Linked DNA regions of Arabidopsis thaliana. The protein of the gene in region 1 interacts with the protein of each later gene in a biochemical or structural test. Each region holds a gene or a part of one and is shown on either strand. Other genes may lie near its edges.

What was found.
Region 2: the proteins of MUR3 (region 1) and FT1 form a complex in vitro, tested with the Arabidopsis thaliana proteins (one study listed by BioGRID).

Annotation. Positions count from the first base shown.
Region 1 is NC_003071.7:8,790,365-8,795,217, reverse strand, and holds MUR3 (Exostosin family protein), read right to left. Parts: upstream 3,280-4,853; 5' UTR 2,864-3,279; coding exon 1,004-2,863; 3' UTR 817-1,003; downstream 1-816. Other genes in the region: AT2G20380 (Galactose oxidase/kelch repeat superfamily protein), read left to right, coding at 1-400. UniProt on the Arabidopsis thaliana protein: Involved in the attachment of the Gal residue on the third xylosyl unit within the XXXG core structure of xyloglucan, the principal glycan that interlaces the cellulose microfibrils in plant cell wall.
Region 2 is NC_003071.7:969,705-974,376, forward strand, and holds FT1 (fucosyltransferase 1), read right to left. Parts: upstream 2,713-4,672; 5' UTR 2,650-2,712; coding exon 2,373-2,649; intron 2,097-2,372; coding exon 697-2,096; 3' UTR 541-696; downstream 1-540. Other genes in the region: FUT2 (fucosyltransferase 2), read right to left, coding at 1-63, 128-416; AT2G03230 (GCK domain-containing protein), read left to right, coding at 3,213-3,671; AT2G03240 (EXS (ERD1/XPR1/SYG1) family protein), read right to left, coding at 3,989-4,088, 4,199-4,335, 4,414-4,672. UniProt on the Arabidopsis thaliana protein: Involved in cell wall biosynthesis. Is both necessary and sufficient for the addition of the terminal fucosyl residue on xyloglucan side chains, but is not involved in the fucosylation of other cell wall components.

The DNA.
Region 1 (4,853 bases):
GGAAGGATATGAAGTGTTAGGATTTTCGGTCAATACAGATTTAGGTCGAGGTTCTTTTTGCATGATAGAGGAGATTACCTATCATTATGACCCCAGTGTAAAGTTTAGATGGAGAAGAAGACAGGGAGGAGTTTGGAGATCATTAGTGGGATTAGAAGGGCTACCTAAGTTTGCTAGATATAGTAGTGTTAAGTTGGCGGATTGTGGTGGTAAGCTGGTTGTTTTGTGGCACAAGTATGTGCCTGCAAGTGGGTATGAGGAGAAGATGGTTTGGTGCGCAGAAATTTCCCTTGAAAAGCGCAGCAAGAAAGAGATTTGGGGGAAGATCGAGTGGTTCGATGCAGTTCTTAGAGTCCCTAAGTATTACCAATTCGTTGGGGCTAAATCTGCTACTGTTTGACAGGTTTGAGCGCTTATAAATATGATCTGCAGTCACTTGCTTTGTAGGATGATGGTTTAAGCTTATTTAGTGAGTTCTTTTTCTTTTAGTGCCTGACATTGTTTTTGCTTATAAATATGATCTGCAGTCACTTGCTTTGTAGGATGATGGTTTAAGCTTATTTAGTGAGTTATTTTAGTGCCTGACATTGTTTTTGCTTATAAATATCTGGCATTGACTTGCTTGTAGATGATTAAGCTTATTTCGGGACTTGTCTGTCTCTTTGATTAACCCTTTGATGACAAACTCGGTCTGCTACTGTTTGATGAATGATGCATGAGACTAGCGGGTAATGTCCGTTTTTAGTTCTGAATATGTGTTGCAAATGCAAAATGTCAAATGCAAACGAAATTAAACATAGGCACTGTCTTCAGTTAGAAACTTGAAAAGGGTCACTTCTTATTATTAATTTCTGTGGGTAACTGATACAAACAAACTTATCTCTATGAAACTGGAGAAACTACATTTGATACCAATACAACAAAAATAAATCATTTTTTGTCCGTATAAATAGTAACCGAAAACTATATCAAAACCGTAACAAAATGTGGTTTCTGTCTCTTTTCACTGTGTCTTATCTCTCTGCTCACTCTTCCATGAATTCTTAGCTGCATCTGCTGAAATAGTCGTGCCTCCATTACCATCGCTGCTGCCATCTTCTCCGGGCTTTGGTTTGGAGAAGAACGGGTCCCACACATGGCCCCCTGCTTCCCGTTGGCCTTCCTCCAGCAACGCATACTTCCAGCTGTTCTCCTCCACGAAGTAGTCATACTCGGTTCGGCCCTCGATCATGTTCTTCCTTAACCGAGTCACCTTGTCTATCACAGCCTGTACCGAGACATCAAATGCATCTTTCTGCGTCTCCAGTTCTGATCTCGGGTCTGCGTAGATCAGCCTTGGGATGAGGTTGATGACATTCTCTCTCATTATCTTGACCTGCTTGGCTGGAATCTGGAGGAGTCGCTCCTCGATGCTTATGTTTCTCTTCCGAACATCATCCTCGGGGATGAATACCGAGTAGGTTGTGTAGTTCTTGGGTAGATGCCACGTGTATTGCGTGTAGGCTGAACCCGGATGGAAGAAGACCGGTATACAACCGGCAAGCATTGAGTCAAATGCCGATCTTCGGGTGTAAGAGTCTCCCTGTGGCTGCAGGCAGAAGAGAGAGCTTTGAAACATTTGCATAATGCTGCTTGGTGCATGGCATTTGCTCTCCCCAAAATCGCATTCTAATAATTTGCCAACATTTGAGTTTCGACATTGATCAATGATCTGCCCTCTGATAGATTTCGGATTGTCAGGTCGTGGGGCTCCTGCAAACGAGAAAAGCCACTTCCTTTCCAGGTTTCTCATCCGGTCTTGCCATTCAAAAACCTCTGAGTCCTTTGCTGGGTGGAAGTAGGTTGGGTACGGGATCCCAAAATCATTAGCATTCCATGGGCTCGACTCAACCACAAGCATAGACATGTTCTTGGCAGCCGGTAAGAAGAGAAGCTTGTTGCCCCAATCAGTTTCTTCTTCAGACAATCTCCTAAAATCCCACGTTATCCTACCCGCCACAAGGAAATGATCTTTTCCCCTCATTATATCCCACTCAGGCCGCTTCATGAGCCAATCGACCAACTCAAGCGAAGCAGCATCCCTTCTCGAGATATTGTATCCCCACAGATACCTAGCAATGTCGAATCCAGCATAGAACGGCACAAAGATGGCAGCAGCAAGGGAAGAATCATTTGTCAAACATTTGTACTGCTTCATCCGGTTGCTGAATATCACATCAACAGCAAACTGATTAGTCGCATACCAACCTTCATCAGAGAAGACACCTTCAACATTCTCAAGCGGCGGCCCAAGGCCAGCATTGGTTGTGAACTTACACATGTTAGTCCAGAGACTAAGCTTCTTACAGTCTCTAAGCATATCCTCATTGAACTTTGAGGGTAGATTGTGAACATAAATGTACTTCCCTCCACAAGGGTCACTCTTGTTGTCTACTGTCTTCAAGGCTCTTATAAACGAAAACTCCTGTTTCTTCCCGCTCTCAACAATTCTAGGTGGCTTAAAGGTGGAACTAGAATTGGCTACTGGTGCAGGAGGGAGTATTGGCTTATCGATAGTAACTAAAGGCTCTTTGGGAGGTGGTTTCGATGGAGCTGCATGAGGCTCTATAGGGAATTTATCAACACGAAGAGAGACTGATGATGGCTGAGATTGAGCATAACTAGGTTGCAATTGGAGCTGTTTATCAATGTTACTAGTCCCTAAGACAACAAAATGGAAGTACAACAACAATGCCCAGAAAAAGAGTGACAAAGCAACCAACAAACAGATTCGATTAGTCTGATTTTTTCCATTTCCCTTCTCCATTGGCTCTGTAGGAGAAACTTCAGCAGAGCGACGCCTCATAGAAACCCTTGGAAACATATATAGAGTGTACGAAGATCACAACATCTATACAATAAAGATCAAACTCAAACAAAACCCTAAAGAGTAAAACCAACTCCTATCAAAGCTTATCAAAGCTTCTAGAAGTGATTTTTACACGAGATCGAAGTAATTGAAGCTGAACCGTAGCTCAGGAGCAACTCCAGAAAGGAATCAGATTTGAGAATGTAGAAGTGTACCGACAAGGATCCGCAAGAGAAGGAGCTACGAGGAAGAAAGAAAGATTACAGCTTTTGATTGATCCTTCTATGGAAGATCTAGAGATGTGTGAAAGTAAAGATTTTTAACATTGATGAGGCCAGGATTGATGGATTTTGACCTGGCTTTGAGCTGGTCTTCATCACCGTCAATGAAAGAAAGAGAGACTTCTGTATAATGTAATTGAAAGCGCACGTTAGTCGGACGGCTAAATCTGCGCCGGCAGTTTTTTCTTGTAGTTGTCGGTGACCAGTGGGACCTTGCCACGTGTGAAAACATGTCGGTTTCAAGTGTCGATGACGTCAGATATAAACCTCTTTGACTCAGTTTCGCGCGTAACGTGCGATTTCGACGAGCGTGTGGGTACGATTCCATGTGTAATCATGTGAGTGGTTTGTAGCATGCTATACGTTGGAAATAACACAAATCGCAGAATTTGATGGTAAGCACTAAGCATGAACCAAAACACGTTGTAACATGATTACTTCAAGTTCAAGCTCATTGTTTAACGTCTCTCTGCTAATCAATTAGTATTTCAATAAGTACATAAGTTTTGACTGCCTTAGTTTGAATGTTGTGTAGAAATAGGTTAATATTTTTGTTGAGACCAAATCTCGTGCATGATGTCCAACTAATGATGACGGATTGACAGTAAGCATAAAGCAGATGACTAGCCTTTTTGCAAACCTAATTACATAAATAATTAAGTCTAAACAAAGACCAAAAATGCTCCAAAATGACTTTGTTTGTATGAAACTATTGATGTAGGTCGAATAAGAGAAAAGAGACATTAGAATGCAAAACAAAATGCACTGCTTTGTTTTATTGATGAGTAAAATTTTGTTAGCCAGTTGAAGATTTAAGTTTTGTTTTCGTTTGTTTAAATTCAAAATTAGAGATAGTTTATATGAATACTGGTGTCTAATTTATGGTGGTAAATCCGTAAATGGTTCCATAGTAGGTAATAAATATGCTCGTATTGAAAACAATTTTCTACAAGTCTAAAGTAGATAAATATCTAAATTAAAATTGAATAGTATAAAATTCAAAAACAGGTCAAAGCGAATTAGGAGAATTACATTCGAACTTAGAAAAAATGTTTGTCGTCTAAGTCGGGATTAGTAGTGTAAATGTTGAAGTGTTCAAGGGGGAGACTCCACTTCCATACACTCATAAATAACAAACCAAAAAGAGCGAAAATTAAAAAAACTTAGAAACTTTAAGCGACAAACGTGGCTTGTGGGAGTGGGGAAGTTTGTGCTCCCCAATGTATAACTCACATGGATACCACAAAAGGACTTGCAAAAAAACTTACTTACTCCTCCTTTAAATAATTGAAGAGAGTTATGGACTAGCATTAAGTATTTCCCAACAATAAGTATTAAAAAAGAAATCACTTTTGATTCTTTAATTATTTGTTACAATTGGTGAACATGTAAGGGTGATTTGGAAAAGTGGGGTGGGGATTAATTATTGAACAAATTCATAATTAAGAATTATATTCTCTTGAAATGCTCTTGAATCAGTGAACACCAATGAGATCGTGGTCTTCTAATCATCATCATCTAATGGGAGGGTGGGAAAATGCATGGAAAGAAAATTTCTAGCTAATTGATAGATCTGTATTCGTCAAATCGCCAAATCGGTACTTGTAGTTATAATCCGGTGGTTGAGAATCTTGAGATTGTAATTGGTAACGTACTTCATAGCTTTTAATCCTGTACCCTCTTGATATCGTCACGTCGTTTGTCCCACTAGACTACTACATAGT
Region 2 (4,672 bases), 7.8 Mb from region 1:
AGCAAGACTCTTTCTTGAAACCAGATACAAGTAGCCCTCCAAGCAGAGACATATCTACAGAATCTGATGAAACATTCAAAGAAAAATTTAGAAACATTTCAAAACAAAAAGAAGAAAGTAAGTTTACCTTTTTGTTCTTGATCTCTCTGCACTAGTGATGAATCATCTGATGAGGATGTCACATTTGGTTCCATTGTTATGAATCTAGATGCTTGTACAAAGCCATTTCCTTGATCATATCCAAACATGGCTACGATTACTAGCGAGACAGGGACTAAAACCATGAACAAAGCTAAGATCTCTGTGATTCTCATTGCTCCTAAGAATCTGCAACTCTTTTCTTGGACTCCTGATTGATCTTCCGGTTGTTGATCAATGGCTCTGGAAAGAGATAATCTTCTTCTGGAGGGATACATTATTCAGAAACCCTAAGATCTAAACAAAAATGGAAAAAGAAATCAAATCTGATCTCTCCCTTTTACTTTCCTCATTTGTTACATAGGAAGAGTAAGAGAATAAGCAAAAGATCATCAAAAAAAAACTGAGACTTTGGTAATAAAAACTCAACCTTTATGCTCTTGTTTTATCTATTTTAAGAGAAAATGTCAAAAGCACAAAAATTGACTTTATTAAAGCTAATTTAAGAAGTTACATGATACATCAAATAATCAAAAACAGAGTAAGGCACACAAAAAATCATACTAGCTTAAGTCCCCAGCTGATATCCTCACAATGTCTCACATGAGGAACTAGTGTTCCCGTGTCAATACCCGTTTTCGCTTTACAATCATAGAATGGAGGCGAGTGGAAACAAGGCTCCATCGACATAGCCCGACCACACGAAGGATCGGGAGTTGTACGGTTTTCGGGTCTATAGAGTATCCAAGGCTTTAAACCTCCAAGACCTTGAGCTACATATCCAAATGTAGACCAAGCACTTGTCACAAGATTATCTGTCAAACTCAAAAGATACATTTCCGCAAGAGCTTTGCCATTATGCATCTTTTTTTCGGTCTGCTGATAACCTTCTTGGCTCGGCTGATGAACACCGATGATTTCTCCAGTTGATGTCGGATATTCCCAATACATACTCTTTAAGTTCTCCGCGTAACCCGCGTTCAAAGATGTGACAAGCACGGCTTTGTGTTTGGGGGTATTAACATGGCGAGATCTCTCCACTAGTGTGTCTACTTCAGGTAGAAGTTTCTCTTTTTGAGTACAAGATGAAATCTGATCCATCACATGCTGAAATGGACCCGGGTCTTCATCGAAAACTCTTACTTGAATCCCAATCTTCTCATCCGCATGCGATAAGTAAGCTTCGTAGTATCTAGTGACTAAGCCCCATACTTGGTTAGTTGGGTGAAAAAGATACCTACCTAAGTGATGAAAGACAGTCGCTTTCTGTGGGAATAGCTTGTTTAGTTCATCATCGAAACCCGGTATTAACCACAGAGATGGAACAAAGTAATTGTCTGTTTTAACAATCAACCAAGGGACTTTCCCGATGAATGTTTGGTCTCCTTCACAGAAGAACATCTTATCATGATCTCCATAATCATGAACAAGATGAAGATAAAGATGAGACAAAGTTCCCTCAGTATCAATCACCTGATTCTTCACCATATATCCATAACAACGAGATGATTCTTGATTTAATCCATCAAACTGATCAGTCATAGGGAAATCTAAAGGTAGCAACCACGACATACCGAGAAACGGCTCGCAAAAGAGATCATCCATGTCTTTCCCTCGGTCAACAAGCAAGACTCTATCCGTTAAAAGCGCGTAAAGAAAAACCGAGGCTAGAGAAAGTATCCTGTTCCCTAAGCCGCTAAAAGAAATCCACACAACATATTTGCATTCACCATCACCATCAATATGTTCTTGATCAAGTTGTTTTAGAGCTTTCTTGTAAGATTCAGTACCCGGACCACATCGCTTGTGAAGCTTTTCGTAGTTTCTAAGCTTAGAGATGAGATAAGAAGATGGCTTGTAAGGTGAAGGTTTACGGTAATGAACTGATTGGTACCTACTAAGGCAAGAATCTTCATCAAAACCAGAAGCAAGTAGCCCTCCGAGAAGCTTATCAGAATCTACAAAACAAAACAGAATCAGAACAAAATCTAAAAAACTCGGAAAAAACGAATGTAACAGTCTAAGCTGAGACCAAAACAAAAGAGCACTTTTTCACCAAAACAACATCAAACCAAAAATAGTAGTCTTGTGACTGACAAAGACTCAATTTTTATGAGTATAGATCTCAAATTGAAATCGACCAAGAGCTATGGACATACAGAGGCAAATGCGTAGTGTAAAGAACGAGATCTAAAGTAATAAAGCTCAAAACTTTGACTTGGAAGAACACATACTGATGTTAGTAACATTTGGGAAAACTCCGGCGTCGAGAACTCTAGCTTCGGCGAAACCCATAATCCGATTTGAATCAGATGGGTGTTGGTGAAAGATCATTGAGAATGCTACTAGTACAGAGAAGACTATCAAGCAAGTAGTGAAGGTTCTCGTGAGCTTCATCGTACCGGAGCTGAGATACTTCATTTGAAGTAGTTCGGAGAAATTAACGGACTTTGAACCGCCGGTAGTGGTTCTGATCGGAGACGATCTTCTCCTGTACGAATTCTGATCCATTGATTGCTCTTGAGGGAGACTCTAAAGTCACTCACCGACTTCATAACTTTATTTCAGAACATGTCTCCACGACATGGTTTAATTGTAATAAAATTATATTTCAATTGAATATCTTCACTTCTACATTATTACTTTTTACACCATAAACTTTGTAATGTTATATTTTGACCCCTATTGTAACAAGTGAATATTAGAAAAAGTAAACCATGTTAAAATTTAATTACTTCTAATTAGGACTGTCAAATTTTTACTACAGTAATCTTTAAAAAATTACAAATGTCAAAATTTTATAAAATAATGTATATAATTTTAAGTAATAAGATAATTAAAGAGAAAATATCTTAAAATACCATTTTTAAAATTAAAAAAATCTTAAAATACCATAAAAGAAAAATTGTTCTCCAAGAATACCACCACTTGTTCTCCAAGAATAGGTTTTAACGAAACTATTTCCTAAAACTTAAAAGCCGACATAACTAAAGGGTTTAAGAGGAGGGGTTTTAAGCTTCCCACTTGTGTTCTTGACTCTCAAACCTAACTTCGTCTTTTAAAATCAAACAACCATGTCTTCTATGAATGCGAATGCTGAGAATTCTGAGAGCAAACCAAAAAGCGGTAACGACCCTTTGGATCATGAAGGAGGAGATTCATCTGCTGCTTCGGAAGATCCGAACAAATCCAAAACAGTAAGTTCTGATGATGATTTGAGTGAGACTAACAAGGAGAAAGAGGAAGAAGATTGTGAAGAGTGTTGGCTTAGTCGGTATTTGAAAAAAGGTGATTGCAAAGATGCATTCATAGAAGTTGATCATTGTAGGGAAGTGAAAGATGACGGCACGAACTGTCGAGATGCTAGATTGAAGCTGATTACATGTATGTATACTAACGTCGATTACTACGGACCGTTTCTAGCAATGCAGAAAGAGATGCGGACTCAGTCGTTAAAGGAGTTGGAACAAGGGGAGGAGGCAGCCGCTGCGGCGAAGAAGAAGGAAGAAGAAGAAGAAACCAAGGGAAAGTGAGCGATTATTAGAATTTATTTGGTTAAGTTATTCTGATACTTTGAATGTTTCTGATTATTACTTTTGTTATTGTGGGAGAATTTGGTTTTTAAGTCATTGCTTTGTTGATGCCCATGAATTTCATGTTTCTCTCAATGAAACAAATTTTAAGTGCAAATCAGTGACCCTAATTACTATGGCTAATCTAGCGAATATCCGTTATCCTGAGTGAAACATCTCCTTGATCTCAATGAACCAGCTTTAGTCTAGTCCATCTTCCTCCTACTCGTTGTGGATGAATCAGTCTTTACAGAATCTAAGACTAGAAACCGAGAAAACTAGTTGCCTTTATCGTCATCCTCGTCGTAGTTAAACGGTAATGGAACCGTCTTAAATGCTCGATACTTCCCAACATTGTTCAAATGCTCATTCTCTAACCTGTTTTTTTGCATAAACAAATCCCCAAGAAAGTTATATCATATGTTGTGTGACAGTAAATAGCGCTAATACATGGTGAAGAAAAGTTGCAGTAACTTATGTTTTCTCACCTGAAGAAATTCCATATCCCACGGCGGATAATCTCTAGACTGGCAACAACAGCAACCATCGTCTGTCTGTGCATGAAGGAGAAATTGAAATCAAGCACGGTCTGCAGCCACGCGAACCTGAGCAAGATGTTCAAGATCTGCATATGTTTTTAAAGTTAAGAATCAATTTTGCACTAGGATTCCAAATGTTGTGTTACTCTATAGTTTGTGCTTACCATCGCGATGAAGTATACTTTCTTCTGCGGGACAAGGAGTTTATCACGGAGCCAAGGGTTCTTAGATGTTCTGTTTAGAAGACCCCAGTCATAGACTAAGTCCCAGTAAGTACAGAAAATGGCAGCAATAGCTGAGAAGATCCCAGCTAATATTCTCCATATAAATTGATTATCCTCGTCGACACTGTAAGTCGTCCTCAAGCAGACAGCCACTATAGTCAAGAAGTACTTGAGGCCATTGTATCCTTGTTCTGGGTTT